Drosophila melanogaster: one gene and its partners. The main gene of each other region encodes a partner of the protein of the gene in region 2 in a complex. Each region holds a gene or a part of one and is shown on either strand. Other genes may lie near its edges. A codon is read from its position in the direction of its gene.

Region 1 (4,212 bases), on a different chromosome or scaffold from region 2:
GCGTGGCGCATGTTGAAAAGCTGCTCCGTTTCGAGCAACTTAAATAGGTGGAAACAAAAAACGCCGCGTTTGCATCGTAATTTTCCATTTTATGCTGGGCATTTTCTATCTAGCACCACGCAATTTTCCACATTTTTCACATACTCATCGGTTTTAGCAATTATTTTGTAATTCTTTTCGGTCAGGCACTGGTTCAACTTTGGATTTCCGGTGGCAGCGCCCACAATCGAAGCGTGTGCGTTCGCGTTTGTGTCCTGTACTCAATTGTGTTCTCCGAGCGGTCGGCCAGCACCAGTCACATCGTAATCCTTGCGATTGGGTCGCCGATGCGAGTGCGCGCGTTAAGTTGTTGATTCCGCAAAAGCTCTCTCTGCGATTCCTTTCGCTCTCGAAAGTCCATCCCCGAAGATAACCGGTTTGGTTTGAGTCCGAACTTAAAGGATATGCTGCGCTAGCGGTGACTCGAACCTTTCGACAGAACTCAGTTTTCTATAGATCCACTAAGAGATAAACTATCTATAAAGTTTTAGAATTTACTTAAAGTTTTAAATTACAAATGTACATGCGTGATTCTGGTATACTAGGTTCAGTTAAACAAACGCCGTCACAACTGCAGCACAACAACTTTGTCCTGGTTCGATTGGCAGAGGAGCAATAAAAAAATAGTCATATATCTCACAATGCCCTAGCGAAGCGCGCTAAAGCTTAGAATGTGGCATGGTTTCGTATAAAGTACACGTCGTACTCCTTCTCGATCCACTTGATCAGCTTGTCCACGTACTTGATCACAGTGGCTTTGTCCACAACCGGCTCGAATATGGCGTACAGTTCGTAGGTTCCGGTTGCCCAGGCCAGGACCACCTCGCGCTCCTTCATCTCGTAGATAAGCTTCAGCGGGCGACTACTGTTGTGGATGCGATGCAGCAAGTCGCAGTAGATGGCCTCCAGGCGCTCCAGCTCCGTCAGAGATTTGTACGGATGCCTGAGCATGGGACACAGCAGTTGAGCTGTGCTCTTGGGCTTGTAAAGAAAGTGCCGCAGCTCGGGGATTCCCACAACCTGTTGGTAGAGTTTCGCATTGAACGGCTGCTGCAGCTCCTCGTTGATGGCTTCCAAGCAGTGGCTTTTGCGTAGCTTCTCCGTGATCTTTGCCTTGGCCTCTGCCAGCGTGAAAAAGGCATCTCTGTCCACGGACAGCAGGAGCAAACAGGCCTGGCAATCATCCGCCAGGTACGAGACATGCGCATGCAGATACCCATTCATGTCGAACTTGGGCAGGCAAATTGGTGACCAGTTCTCGGAGCTCTTGAAGGACTCGGAGCACTCTACCAGGTTGAAGATCAGACGCAAATCAGCCGGATGGATGGAGTACTTCTTCATGCGCACCAATGCTATCAGTTTGTTATTGGCAATTAGCACGGCAAACACCAGGTTCTTGATCTTGGAGCAGTTGCTCTGAATGGCGCTGGTGATTTGCGATCGTATCGTTGTGGGCAATGGGAAGACGCGAATTGAGTTGGTCAAAAATGTGAAGATGTTGTTGGACACTAAAAGAAGTCGTTGAGAAATTAAGCAATTTGGATATGCTTAGATATCCTTACCCTTGGCACTACTACTGTCGTTCGCCAACAGATTGTAGAACAATCGTTCGCTGCCGGAGAGCAGTCTCCTCAGATCAAAGTTCTTGCGCCTCTCAAAGATTTTCGTCATGTGTGAATACGTCAGAATGGACAATATTTGATTGTAGACATCCCTGGTAAAGAATGGGAAGTTCCCATTAGTTAGCATTGCTATCAGGTGCGTTATAATTGACTCACCCCAGTTGAAGCTGCAGCTGCTGCACACTCATGTTGCTCCTGCTGGCAGCCACCAGGATGAGCGAGCTGCGTTGCATGAAAGCGAACTTAATGCCGCCCGCATGAATGGAGGTAATAGCATCCTGGCCCATTTGGACGAAGCTTACCAGTGCCTGAATGACACCGAAAAGCGTGGCCAGTTTATCCTCATTGCCGTGTAGCGAGAAGATTGGCTTTCCCGCCTCGCTTAGTATGAAGATGTGTTTCTTTTGGCCCTGCCACAGACTGTCGTGCTGGTAATCGTATTCCTCCTCCAGTCCCCCGCCAATGGAGTCCTCTGTTTTGGCGCTGGTCGAGGTGCTCAATGCCAGAGACTCCACAGAGGCAGCCAGTCCCTTGTTCTCCTGCCCCGGCTCCGGACTGAGGGCACTGTTATCTCGCATGGTGCCCAGGCCATCTCTTAGCTCAGAGATAATACTATGGTTTTGTTGCTCGGCCTCCTGGTCGGGATCCGCCTCTTGATAGAGATTTGGGGACTCCGGATCGCCCTCTGCGTCTAGATACTCGCAGGTGGAGTTCGTGTCCGACCTGACTGACGTCTGCTCTACTTCCATTTCGAATTCGTTTAACTATTTCAGTCGCTGGAACATTGCAGTTTGCCAATATTTAGCAATATCATAAATTTACAACTAAATCATTACAGCTGGAATGGATTTCCCAACACTGTCCGAAGCAGAAGGTGAAATAAAGGGTGTTCCGGAAAACACACCATAAGATAGGCTTATTCATTCTTAAATGTTATGAAAAATAAGTTAATTTGATATATGGATTTTGAATTACTTTATCTTAATAATTATAATTAAATTTTTATATCTGTTATTTTGTTTTTGTTTTAAGACCTCTTATAGAAACACTTCTATCCAACACTACCCACCAGCTGTTTACCAAAATCGACGGAAAAGAAGAAGAACATAGGTTATGAAAACACGAGCCGCTCCAAAATGTTGAGAAAATCGTTTGCCAACCGTAAGTAATCAATTAAAACATCAAGGAAACCAAATTATACATGCTTTCCCTTGGTAGTACCCCGCTTTGGTCAGATGTGCGGTCTGCCACGACGCCTGCAGAGCACACAGCCGGAGCAATCGGTGGAAACGGAACCGGAGGACATCGCCCTGGTGGAACAGCGGATTCTGAAGCATCCGGACTACTTCCAAGTGCACAACCTGTTCACCGTGCGCGACCTCTTCAATGCCCGAGTGCACTATGGCCACAAGGAGGGCTCCCTGGACGACCGAATGCGTCCGTACTTGTTCGGCAGTCGATTAGGTCATCTGATCTTCGATCTGGACAAGACGGCATCACATCTGCGCGATGCCCTCAACTTTGCCGCACACATTGCCTTCCGAGATGGCATCATTCTGTTCTTCAACCGCAACGCCATGAACTCACATCTCGTGGAGCGAAAGGCCCAGGAGGCCGGTGAATTCTCGCACACTCGCTTTTGGCGCGGCGGCATCTTTACCAATGCCAATGTGCAATTCGATGCGGTCACCAGGCTGCCCGATCTTTGCATTTTCCTCAACACTCAAAACAACGTTATGGCTCAGCACACGGCGGTTCGGGACGCCGCCAAAATGGCCATACCAACGATTGGCATAGTGGACAGCAATTGCAATCCCAACCTGATCACCTATCCGGTGCCCGGCAACGATGACTCGCCGGCCGCAGTGGAGCTCTATTGCAACCTCTTCAAGGAAGCCATACTGCGTGGCAAGCGGGAACGACGCCAACTCCTTGGCCTTCCGCCTCTGGACGAATCCCAGCCGCGGCGCAGTCGCAAAACTAAGTAATAGCCAAGTAGTAGTGTCAAGTTGATTTTGTTACATTTATCTTAATACAAATGCCAATGGCCGTCAATCCACGATGAAGAAGAAATTGCTAAATATGGTTGCAAAATTGCAGAACTTTGTGCATGTGCCATGCTATTTGATAGTGTTTAAGAAAACCCACGACCTGGGTTAGTTTCGGATAGCTATTCTAGGGCGGCAGCAGAGTGGCACCCTTGACAAAGTTGTTGCTGTAGTGGCTGAAATACGAGGGATTGGAGTTGGACCCCGTGTTGTTGGAACTTCCAGAGGGCCAGTAGTTGGTAATCTGTGGTGGGGTGTCAGGTGGCGGCGGAGGCGGCGCTGAGGTACCAATGATGGAGAGATCCGTACCGCCTTTGATGGCACGGCCGGGACCGAAGAACGTATCCATTTGCTGCTTCTTGAAATCATGCATCGACGCAAAACCATTCGGCGGCCTCTCCTTGGACATGTCCCACGAGCCGATGCTGGATGACTTGCGCACGAACACTTGGCCCTTTTCATTCTTGTCCTGCTCCACCCAGCGCTCTGCATGCTTCACCGTC
Region 2 (4,067 bases):
TGTGTCAATGGCGCGCATGTGGCAATTTACAACACTGAAACCGGGCTGCCAGGCTACCGATTTGGTATCTAAATGGATCTAGTCCGGTCACACTGGTGGGTGTGGGTGCGAAAGATAAATAAATAAATATGTTGAAAATGGACAGGGAAAAGTTGATTGTGCCCAATCAAATTGGCTATCTGATACTAAAGGAAGATGGAGCAGTTCTGGAGTCCGGCGGAGATCTGAAGAACGATGAGCGCAGTGCAAATGTGATAATGGGATTACTAAATCTCACAGAGACGTGCGTTTTTAAACAAAGGATGAAGGAATTTTGTAATAATTACGCCTATATTGTAGCATCGACGAGTCCTTCATGCCGAGCAGCAGCTGCGAGAGGATCACCATCGATTACGAGCATCACTACTACAGCATCTGCATGTCCAACCGTAGAATATACATCATTAAGATCAGCAAATCGCAGAATGGCGTCACCACGACCACGAGCTCCTCCTCGTCGAACAGCGTGTATAACGATGCCAGCGATTCCGGGGCAGTGCTGGCTTGAAATCCGTCGTCGGATGTCCGACCCACTTGCAGATTCTGTTGGCAAGCAACCGGACAAAGACCCCACAATTGGCGCACTCCCATTATTTACCTAATCCTCCTCTTTATTTGTCAAAAAATACATCATCTGTGAGCTCTTGCTCGAAAATGCGCCTCGCTTCCTGGGTGACGTCCAGCAAGGTGGCCTTGCTATTGCACAGGATCACATAGTACTGCCTGTAGTTACAGCGCCGCTTCACAATCCAATAGTCATTGGTGGTCTTGACCTGAACTTCCTCGGCAGGAGCACTCTCCATTTCCGCCTTGCCACTGCCATTGGCCAAGTCCGCAATGATACTAAGCACATTGCGGGGCAGCCCTTGGGGCAGGTGCCTCTGAAAGTTCGTGTGGTGCTGCAGGCTTTGTTCGTTAATGAACAAGTACTTCGGCGCCGTTTCGCTGTTCCCGCTGGAGTTGTCCTGGCCTGCAGCACCCACCGCCTCCTTTGTCAACTCGCTGGATATGTCCCGGGCCAACGAAGTCAGTTGGGGAGCCATGTAGGCATGGAGATCGTCGTAGAGATCTTGTTTCGGCGCAACCTGGTCAGCTGACAAATGTGGAATGTTTCAAGTTGATTATTTTGGCTATTTAGTTCTAATCCTTAACATACCATTCAGAAACAGACACAGAGTTATGTGCAAAGCGCGGTAGATGAGCAAGTAGTAGGGTTTGGCCTCCTTGTCCAGTGTCACATAGACCTTCATTGGATGATCTTCCTCATTCACAGCGTCATGTTCATCTCCTGCGACCTTCTGACGACTTCTTACGAATCCGCCCACCTGGCATTCACTTATGCTTCGCTTTAGTGAAGGAGAAACTGCAATGGTGGAACTGCTGGCCTCGACTTTCAGCACGTGTTGCACGACATACGAGTGCACGCAGTGCAGATCCTCCGGGCTAAGTTTTCCGCCACAAAGGACCTGCTCCTGGTAGAGCATTATGCTCTCCTTGATGTCGGGGAAGGTCTCGCACAGGGTGCCAAAGTTTTGGGCCCGCAAGAAGAGCGTTTTATCCAATGGCAGATACTGAATGGAATGCAGCATATCGATGATATCACATTGCGCGGGATCCCTCAGGTTGGTCAGATGCTGATCATAGAACTGGAGTAGCTTCTGGCAGAGCAGTTCCCTACGCTTATCCGGATTAGGTTCTTCACTTCCGCAGGAGGAGAAACATCCGTTTTGAAAGCGAAACATTTGATAGCATTGTCTAAGTATTGCTCTATAAATCCTGTCGGAGATCTCGGCACCCCGATAATCGGCCACCTCCACGCCCTCCTTTAAGCGCACCTCCTTGGGAACATTCAGGACCAGTACTAACCAATACCCTGGCTCGGGTTGGTAGAAGAGTTGTGTGGTTTTCTGGGTATGCAAGGCCTGGCAATCATCTTCAGATGTAAAAGTTCTGCAAGTACAGCAAACTCTGTATTATTACCCACTTCCCTCTATGTAAAAAGTTCCATAAATACCCAGTGAACCTTATGATGGCCTCACTTAGTCCCACATCTTTGATTTTCGTATTTAATTCAATGTCATTTGGATGGTAAAACAAAACCTTCTTGTGTTCCTGAAAAAAATTACTCATTAGGGGCGTTTCTTAGCCTTAAAATTGATTTGCCAACCTCGCCTTCAACTTGGCCAAAAGTCGAGTTAAAAATGTAAAAGCTGCGTAACGTAATTTCTACGCGTTGCAATAATTTAGCCATTTCTTTCCGCACAGAATTAAAAGTATTTATTTTGGCCAAAGGTAAATAATGAAAAGGTACTAACGCGTCCGTGTTTGCCAACCAGGGTTACATTTTACCAAATGTAGTGTGCTAGTATATACCAAACGTTTCCAGTACCAAATTAAAAAAAATACCACACAATTAATAAGCGAATTTAAAGCTTTTTCATTTATTTTGGAATTTAATAGATTTAATAAAATTTATGTCATGGCGTTTACTGAAATTTAGAATTTTTCTGATGTCTTCCCTTTTGACAATGCAGAAAGGAAAGTGGCCATCCATAATCTCCTCATATTTATTTAGAGTGAAGTGCGTGCTAAATTGTGTTTATTTGGAAATGTATTTAGTTTAAGCCTGGATTCCTCCACGGAGACGGAGCACCAAGTGAAGGGTCGATTCCTTCTGGATGTTGTAATCGGACAGGGTGCGTCCATCCTCAAGCTGCTTGCCGGCGAAGATCAGACGCTGCTGATCTGGGGGAATTCCCTCCTTGTCTTGGATCTTAGCCTTAACATTCTCAATGGTGTCCGAGGGCTCTACCTCGAGGGTGATGGTCTTTCCGGTCAAAGTCTTCACGAAGATCTGCATACCACCACGGAGACGAAGGACCAAGTGAAGGGTGGACTCCTTCTGGATGTTGTAATCGGACAGGGTGCGTCCATCCTCAAGCTGCTTGCCGGCGAAGATCAGACGCTGCTGATCTGGGGGAATTCCCTCCTTGTCTTGGATCTTAGCCTTAACATTCTCAATGGTGTCCGAAGGCTCTACCTCGAGGGTGATGGTCTTTCCGGTCAAAGTCTTCACGAAGATCTGCATACCACCACGGAGACGAAGGACCAAGTGAAGGGTGGACTCCTTCTGGATGTTGTAATCGGACAGGGTGCGTCCATCCTCAAGCTGCTTGCCGGCGAAGATCAGACGCTGCTGATCTGGGGGAATTCCCTCCTTGTCTTGGATCTTAGCCTTAACATTCTCAATTGTGTCCGATGGCTCTACCTCGAGGGTGATGGTCTTTCCGGTCAAAGTCTTCACGAAGATCTGCATACCACCACGAAGACGAAGGACCAAGTGAAGGGTGGACTCCTTCTGGATGTTGTAATCGGACAGGGTGCGTCCATCCTCAAGCTGCTTGCCGGCGAAGATCAGACGCTGCTGATCTGGGGGAATTCCCTCCTTGTCTTGGATCTTAGCCTTAACATTCTCAATGGTGTCCGAAGGCTCTACCTCGAGGGTGATGGTCTTTCCGGTCAAAGTCTTCACGAAGATCTGCATACCACCACGGAGACGAAGGACCAAGTGAAGGGTGGACTCCTTCTGGATGTTGTAATCGGACAGGGTGCGTCCATCCTCAAGCTGCTTGCCGGCGAAGATCAGACGCTGCTGATCTGGGGGGATTCCCTCCTTATCCTGAATCTTGGCCTTCACATTCTCAATGGTGTCCGATGGCTCTACCTCGAGGGTGATGGTCTTTCCGGTCAAAGTCTTCACGAAGATCTGCATACCACCACGGAGACGAAGGACCAAGTGAAGGGTGGACTCCTTCTGGATGTTGTAATCGGACAGGGTGCGTCCATCCTCAAGCTGCTTGCCGGCGAAGATCAGACGCTGCTGATCTGGGGGAATTCCCTCCTTGTCTTGGATCTTAGCCTTAACATTCTCAATTGTGTCCGATGGCTCTACCTCGAGGGTGATGGTCTTTCCGGTCAAAGTCTTCACGAAGATCTGCATACCACCACGAAGACGAAGGACCAAGTGA
Region 3 (4,921 bases), 2.6 Mb from region 2:
CTTCTAATGGGTATGCTGGACAGTTCGAGGCACAAAACGGAGGCTTTGCGAGCATCTGCTGGAGCCCTGTGTCAAGATCTTCACCTGAAGTTCGTCAAGCGCTATCAGCATGCGCATCGTGGACTTTGGGTGACCACCACAAAGTGCTCCATGTGTCGCCAAAGGCTGTACGATCACAGCCAGGTGCTAATATTTGGCGGATGTGGGCATGGCATACACGAGCAGTGCATGGAGGAGTCGGAGACTCAGTTTGAAGAATGTCCACGGTGCTTTACGGCCATTCCAGATCAAAGTATTGGTTTGCCGCGGCCAAATAAAAATCTAATCAGCATTTCCTCGTCCTTGGAAATGGGTGCCTTGCAACTGAAGGCACCGCCCAGGCGATTTATATAGTTTCATCGTCCTTTTTGTATATTCCATTTATTCCTCTATGTATTTATTGTACAACTATGTGTATTGTATGTGTAAGTAAAAAAATTGCATGAAAAATCCGTATTTTTATGGTTCTTGTTTGAGTCATTCCTTTACTTTCGTATAAAATGATCATCATTTCAATTGGATATATTTACAATTCAATACAAAAGTATGTTTATACTTCAGTATGTTTATACTTTCTAAAGCACACTTTAAATTATATTAATCACAAATTGCCATTTTTCCTTTAGCTTACAGGCTGTCTGGTAGGATTATCAGCAGGAAAAGTGTTATTATAATGCTGTATGAATTCCGTGCATTGTTCAGCTGTTAAATAAGAAATTCAAAGGTTTAAAAAGTGATGCCGCAATTCAAGATTACAAATTAGCTTACCCTTGGGAAAAGATAGGGTTTCATAAAGTTTCAGGTTTCTCATTTGGAAAAAGCGGTATACGCTGTGGAATATTAGATCATCCTTTGTCTTATGAGCCGCCTCCAGAAACTTGCGAGCTGGCACTTTTTCCAGACCCATTGAATTCTTAGCCAGCCTTAAGGCATCAATAACTTTGCCTTGACCCAGCATTACTTCAATGATGATCTAAAAAATATTGTTAGTTCATACATCTTAGTAAAAATATCTAATTATAGTTATATCCACCTCATGTGCTTCAATCCTGCCCAGCATATCGATGGCCACCTGGGATATCGCCGTATCCACATTTGAATGCGACAACAAAAAGCAAGCCACCGACTTGGATTCCAGCAGCATTGAATAGCTGACCAAGCGTCGCAAGGTGTCGAAGCTGCGATTGGAGATCAGCTCGCTGATGATCATCTTGCTCAGCTCCTCCTGGGCGGCAATGTTGAACTTGTTCAGGGATTGCAGGTAGAGCATCAATATGGATTCCGTGTACGGGCGACGAGCTATGCGCTGAAAGATTTGCACCATATCCAGTTGCTCAATGAGCACAATGGGCGGTGTGCTCTGTTTCAGGGTAGTAGTTTTTACGTTCGACGGTTGAGCGGTTTGATTTTGCAGCTCCAACTGGACCCAAGACCTAAAGTATACCATGCATAATGTAATAAATATATATTGATGAAAATAACGTCTTTAACTTACGCATAGATCTTGTTAATCCGACTGAAGATGGTCTCTAGGACTGGCAATAGAGTTCCCTTATACTGATCATCTACCAATTGTCCAATGACTTTTAATAGCATCTGCTTGCCATTGCTGCGTTGCAGCAGGAATTCTGTAAGTCGAATGCGATCCGAAATCAGTTGGCACAATGGTTCAATGCAGAGGTTCAAAAACCACATGCAACCCAACTTGGCATCGATTACAATATTTGGCTGGAACAGTACCCAGTGCGTGGAATCTGCATGGGTATAAGTGTCAAATAAAGTAACTTTTTGGATATTTAAAGAACTTACACAACTCGCACTGCAAGATTTGTCCATCAGGCGAAAGTGAGGGCAGTTTCAGGCCAAACGGTTTGATGGAGCGCCCTGGAGTTATGGGTGTATGATAGGTTATTTCATTGATCACCTCTCCGGGCAGGGAGATGTCGAATAGCAGCGAAGTGCCCGAAGCTTGATGGTGCACCACAATCAGATTATCCACCGTGTTGATGGCGAAGCGACCAAGCAGACTTAAGCGGAGCACATGGCACTTGCGTGGAGCCAAGCCCGGTCCATTGAGCAAGTGCACCTCGACTTCCATCAGTCCGGTGGTGCTATTTGACTGGAGGATAAGCACAGCCAGCACGCCGTAAACTTGGCCTAAGGTGACCTTGCTCTCCTGGACATCGCGACTTGGATTGCCCACTGAAAGGAAAGATTAAAACGCTTTTAAAGGATTTTAACCCAAAAGGATTACTTACAGTCCACTTTGGGCAGCTTGGTGATTACTTTCTGCTTGACCAGCACCGGAATCAGGGAGTTTCCTTCGCTGGTGCACAGTAGAGCCACATTGGCATCGCAGCACCAGGCGAACCACTTGATGCCAATGCTCAGGGATTTCACAGAGCGCACCTGTCGCTTCTCAGGAACTACGGTGTAGACCTCCACGCCGGTATTCGAAATCAGGGCCACCTCTCGATTGTGGACCCAAACAAAGCCATGGATCAGAGTCTTCACCTGGTGGGTAATGATGTCCTGCAGCAGAGGCTGATCTCCCTGAAAACATATGAACTCCACGGAATTCTCCTTTCGCTGAACGGCCAAGATTTGGTTGTCCGGCGAGAACTTAATGGACCTTATGGCACCGCCACGGTCGCTCATGCAAAAGGAGATGACGACATCGTCGGGAGATCCAGGACCTTTGACCACCACACCAGTAGCTCCTCCAGACCGAACAGCAAATATCTTTACAGATATAGATTTTTAGCCATCATCAACATGGATTTTTAACATGTTTTAACTATACCTGCTTGTTGGAGTCATCGAAAAACACATTGGTTAGTTGGCTGACAGCATCAAATCGTATGGGATTTGGGGTTAGCTCAATGTAGTGGATTCCATTGGAATTATCCATTGTTGTGCTGGAAAAAAATAAATAACAAACTGCAACAGCACAACTTTTTATACACCCCCCATTAGAGATGTGACTTTAGCACAGGGTGCTAGAGATGTGCCACGAGTAACAAGCTGTTTTAAGTCACGATTAATTTCATTTATTGTACGTGCAAGGATTAAAAATATAAATGTATTTAACATTATTTGTGGTATGCTTACAGTAGATATTTTTAAACATTTATACTATATTTATTTAACCCCTTCCAACTCACGCTATTATTTGCCATCACTATTGCTATCAGCGGTATTTTTGCCAGCCCTATCAGCTGTTTAGTATACAAACAACAGCGATAAGAAAAAACGGCAGACAGGACACAGAAAAATATTTTTTCTTGTGAATTTAAAAAAAGGTCTCAATAACTTTGATTCAACCACTTAATGGGACACCTGGACAAATGCCGCGTATGCTCCAGCGATGTGGCTAGAGACGACGAGGCCTACAATTTGCTGCACCATCCATATCTCGCCGTCAAATTTTCGGAGTGCACAAATTTGGTGGTGGATCCTGATGACCAGGATATTTTGCCCAGCGAAATTTGCTCGGAGTGCTACGAGCTTCTGGAGAAGTTCCACTCCTTCCGAGCACTTTGCATTATAGCCGACAATAAGTGGCGTTCTAAAAGTCTGGTAACTTGGAAGAAAATAGATCGCAGGAAACCTGTTTACGAGGTCGATGAAGATGAGGAAGAGGAGCTGGAGCTGGAAGAACTTCTATTGGAGCCGCCGGAGATGATTATATGTGATACCAATTTGAGTGCACAAAATACCCCAATAGTCGCTGAACAGGCACCGCCAACCTTGGTATTCCATACCTTCACCGAAAATGTCCAGCAACCCCCGGAAACGGAAAAGAAAGCTTTGGAAGTGAGTTTGGGTTTAAGGTTTAAACAGGAGTGTAAGTTAAGTTGTATTCAATGATTTCAGGAGCCGCCATTGACCACATACAAGTGCGACTTGTGCGCCGACGAGTTTCGAGAGGAGAAACGCTTGATTCTGCACAAGAAGGAACACCAGGGACACATGCTGTATCATTGCACTGAGCCCGGATGCGAGGAAGCTTTCAACCGATTCGAGAACCTCAGGCAGCACGAGCTAGAGCACTCGGAAGTGGGCATGCGGTTTGTCTGCGAGGAGGAGGGCTGCAACAGGATGTACCGGCACAAGGCCTCGCTGAAATACCACCAAAGCAAGGCTCACGACATTGGCAAGCCTTTGAAGACCCATATGTGCGAGTTCTGTGGTCGGGTGTTCAAGACTGGCTCTGCCCTAAGCCAGCATCGGTTCACACACGGTGACCAGCTGGTATTGCCATATGCCTGCGAACTGCCGGAATGTTCTATGCGATTCTATAGCACGGAGAAACTCAAGATCCACATGATGCGTCACCAGGGCATAAAGAACTTTAGTTGCCCCTACTGTGGTCTCAAGAAGACGACCAAAAACGAACTGCGACTGCATATCAACTATCATACTCTGGAAAGGACCTGGTCCTGCAAGGATTGCCCCAAAGTTTGCAACAGCTCAACGAGTCTTAAGAAACATATCCGCGCAATCCACGAGAAGGCACGAGATTATGCCTGCAGCTATTGCGAAAAGAAATTTGCCACCACCGACACGCGAAAATATCACGAAATGACCCACACTGGCGAAAAGAACTTTGAGTGTCACGTTTGCGGCAAGAAATTTATACAACCCTCTGCCTTGCGCACCCATCGCAAGGTCCACGAATCGGGGGATAATCAGCAGACCGCTTGTGCTCTGCTGCAACTGACTAGCATGGGTTAAAGAAGTTAACATATTTCTATTTTAGGTTCAGTGGAAAGTACAACATTCATATCGTATTTTACTTGACTCACAACTTAATTAATATTTACATACCTCCTTTATTGAGGGATTTATTACGATAACGAATTAGAAGAGCAGGGAAGAG

The links.
Region 1: the proteins of Ccz1 (region 2) and Mon1 are in contact, whole or in part, in a cryo-EM structure (PDB 8JBE), measured with the Drosophila melanogaster proteins. Residues at the interface, in NP_647835.1 of Drosophila melanogaster: Lys48 (codon at 2,094), Gly51 (codon at 2,085), Leu52 (codon at 2,082), Ile56 (codon at 2,070), Phe59 (codon at 2,061), Thr60 (codon at 2,058), Thr62 (codon at 1,988), Phe63 (codon at 1,985), Thr64 (codon at 1,982), Asp68 (codon at 1,970), Cys69 (codon at 1,967), Gln70 (codon at 1,964), Ala71 (codon at 1,961), Leu72 (codon at 1,958), His73 (codon at 1,955), Thr74 (codon at 1,952), Gln75 (codon at 1,949), Lys76 (codon at 1,946), Thr77 (codon at 1,943), Ala114 (codon at 1,832), Glu115 (codon at 1,829), Ala412 (codon at 875), Asp413 (codon at 872), Asn416 (codon at 863), Pro427 (codon at 830), Ala428 (codon at 827), Glu429 (codon at 824), Glu430 (codon at 821), Val431 (codon at 818), Gln432 (codon at 815); in NP_608868.1 of Drosophila melanogaster: Trp112 (codon at 2,077), Gln113 (codon at 2,074), Phe120 (codon at 2,053), Leu142 (codon at 1,987), Val145 (codon at 1,978), Ile146 (codon at 1,975), Leu149 (codon at 1,966), Phe152 (codon at 1,957), Val153 (codon at 1,954), Gln157 (codon at 1,942), Asp158 (codon at 1,939), Ala159 (codon at 1,936), Ile160 (codon at 1,933), Thr161 (codon at 1,930), Ser162 (codon at 1,927), Ile163 (codon at 1,924), His164 (codon at 1,921), Ala165 (codon at 1,918), Gly166 (codon at 1,915), Ile168 (codon at 1,909), Phe170 (codon at 1,903), Phe172 (codon at 1,897), Arg185 (codon at 1,858), Arg459 (codon at 918), Ser464 (codon at 903), Arg465 (codon at 900), Pro466 (codon at 897), Leu467 (codon at 894), Lys468 (codon at 891), Leu469 (codon at 888).
Region 3: the proteins of Ccz1 (region 2) and Bulli are in contact, whole or in part, in a cryo-EM structure (PDB 8JBE), measured with the Drosophila melanogaster proteins. Residues at the interface, in NP_647835.1 of Drosophila melanogaster: Tyr188 (codon at 1,610), Leu189 (codon at 1,607), Pro190 (codon at 1,604), Leu191 (codon at 1,601), Asp192 (codon at 1,598), Lys193 (codon at 1,595), Thr194 (codon at 1,592), Phe196 (codon at 1,586), Leu197 (codon at 1,583), Arg198 (codon at 1,580), Gln200 (codon at 1,574), Asn201 (codon at 1,571), Glu207 (codon at 1,553), Val223 (codon at 1,505), Leu224 (codon at 1,502), Cys225 (codon at 1,499), Gly226 (codon at 1,496), Lys228 (codon at 1,490), Tyr342 (codon at 1,085), Asn385 (codon at 956), Gln387 (codon at 950), Ser388 (codon at 947), Pro427 (codon at 830), Ala428 (codon at 827), Asn447 (codon at 770), Tyr448 (codon at 767), Arg449 (codon at 764), Asp479 (codon at 674), Phe483 (codon at 662), Lys485 (codon at 656); in NP_648047.2 of Drosophila melanogaster: Tyr395 (codon at 1,596), Gly397 (codon at 1,590), Phe407 (codon at 1,560), Tyr464 (codon at 1,327), Ser467 (codon at 1,318), Met470 (codon at 1,309), Leu471 (codon at 1,306), Gln474 (codon at 1,297), Asn477 (codon at 1,288), Asn498 (codon at 1,225), Arg499 (codon at 1,222), Asp502 (codon at 1,213), Thr503 (codon at 1,210), Arg505 (codon at 1,204), Arg506 (codon at 1,201), Leu507 (codon at 1,198), Tyr510 (codon at 1,189), Met512 (codon at 1,183), Asp530 (codon at 1,129), Thr531 (codon at 1,126), Ala532 (codon at 1,123), Gln535 (codon at 1,114), Ile538 (codon at 1,105), Asp539 (codon at 1,102), Arg543 (codon at 1,090), His547 (codon at 1,078), Ile550 (codon at 1,009), Lys559 (codon at 982), Asp562 (codon at 973), Leu566 (codon at 961).

What each region holds. Positions count from the first base shown.
Region 1 is NT_033779.5:4,848,949-4,853,160, reverse strand, and holds Mon1 (monensin sensitivity 1), read right to left. Parts: upstream 2,521-4,212; 5' UTR 2,411-2,520; coding exon 1,818-2,410; intron 1,754-1,817; coding exon 1,602-1,753; intron 1,548-1,601; coding exon 706-1,547; 3' UTR 521-705; downstream 1-520. Other genes in the region: mRpS2 (mitochondrial ribosomal protein S2), read left to right, coding at 2,798-2,822, 2,880-3,649; CG11927 (uncharacterized protein), read right to left, coding at 3,837-4,212. UniProt on the Drosophila melanogaster protein: Part of the Mon1-Ccz1 guanyl-nucleotide exchange factor complex specific for Rab7 that promotes the exchange of GDP to GTP, converting Rab7 from an inactive GDP-bound form into an active GTP-bound form.
Region 2 is NT_037436.4:3,896,809-3,900,875, forward strand, and holds Ccz1 (Caffeine, calcium, zinc sensitivity 1), read right to left. Parts: upstream 2,349-4,067; 5' UTR 2,291-2,348; coding exon 2,207-2,290; intron 2,152-2,206; coding exon 2,054-2,151; intron 1,990-2,053; coding exon 1,196-1,989; intron 1,133-1,195; coding exon 651-1,132; downstream 1-650. Other genes in the region: Lamtor4 (late endosomal/lysosomal adaptor, MAPK and MTOR activator 4), read left to right, coding at 129-283, 340-547; Ubi-p63E (Ubiquitin-63E), read right to left, coding at 2,660-4,067. UniProt on the Drosophila melanogaster protein: Part of the Mon1-Ccz1 guanyl-nucleotide exchange factor complex specific for Rab7 that promotes the exchange of GDP to GTP, converting Rab7 from an inactive GDP-bound form into an active GTP-bound form.
Region 3 is NT_037436.4:6,486,790-6,491,710, reverse strand, and holds Bulli (bulli), read right to left. Parts: upstream 3,031-4,921; 5' UTR 2,951-3,030; coding exon 2,843-2,950; intron 2,782-2,842; coding exon 2,298-2,781; intron 2,242-2,297; coding exon 1,849-2,241; intron 1,794-1,848; coding exon 1,535-1,793; intron 1,473-1,534; coding exon 1,073-1,472; intron 1,013-1,072; coding exon 808-1,012; intron 742-807; coding exon 662-741; 3' UTR 501-661; downstream 1-500. Other genes in the region: Vps8 (vacuolar protein sorting 8), read left to right, coding at 1-393; CG10147 (uncharacterized protein), read left to right, coding at 3,370-3,855, 3,916-4,776. UniProt on the Drosophila melanogaster protein: Positive regulator of the Rab7 guanyl-nucleotide exchange activity of the Mon1-Ccz1 complex, possibly by enhancing its endosomal membrane association.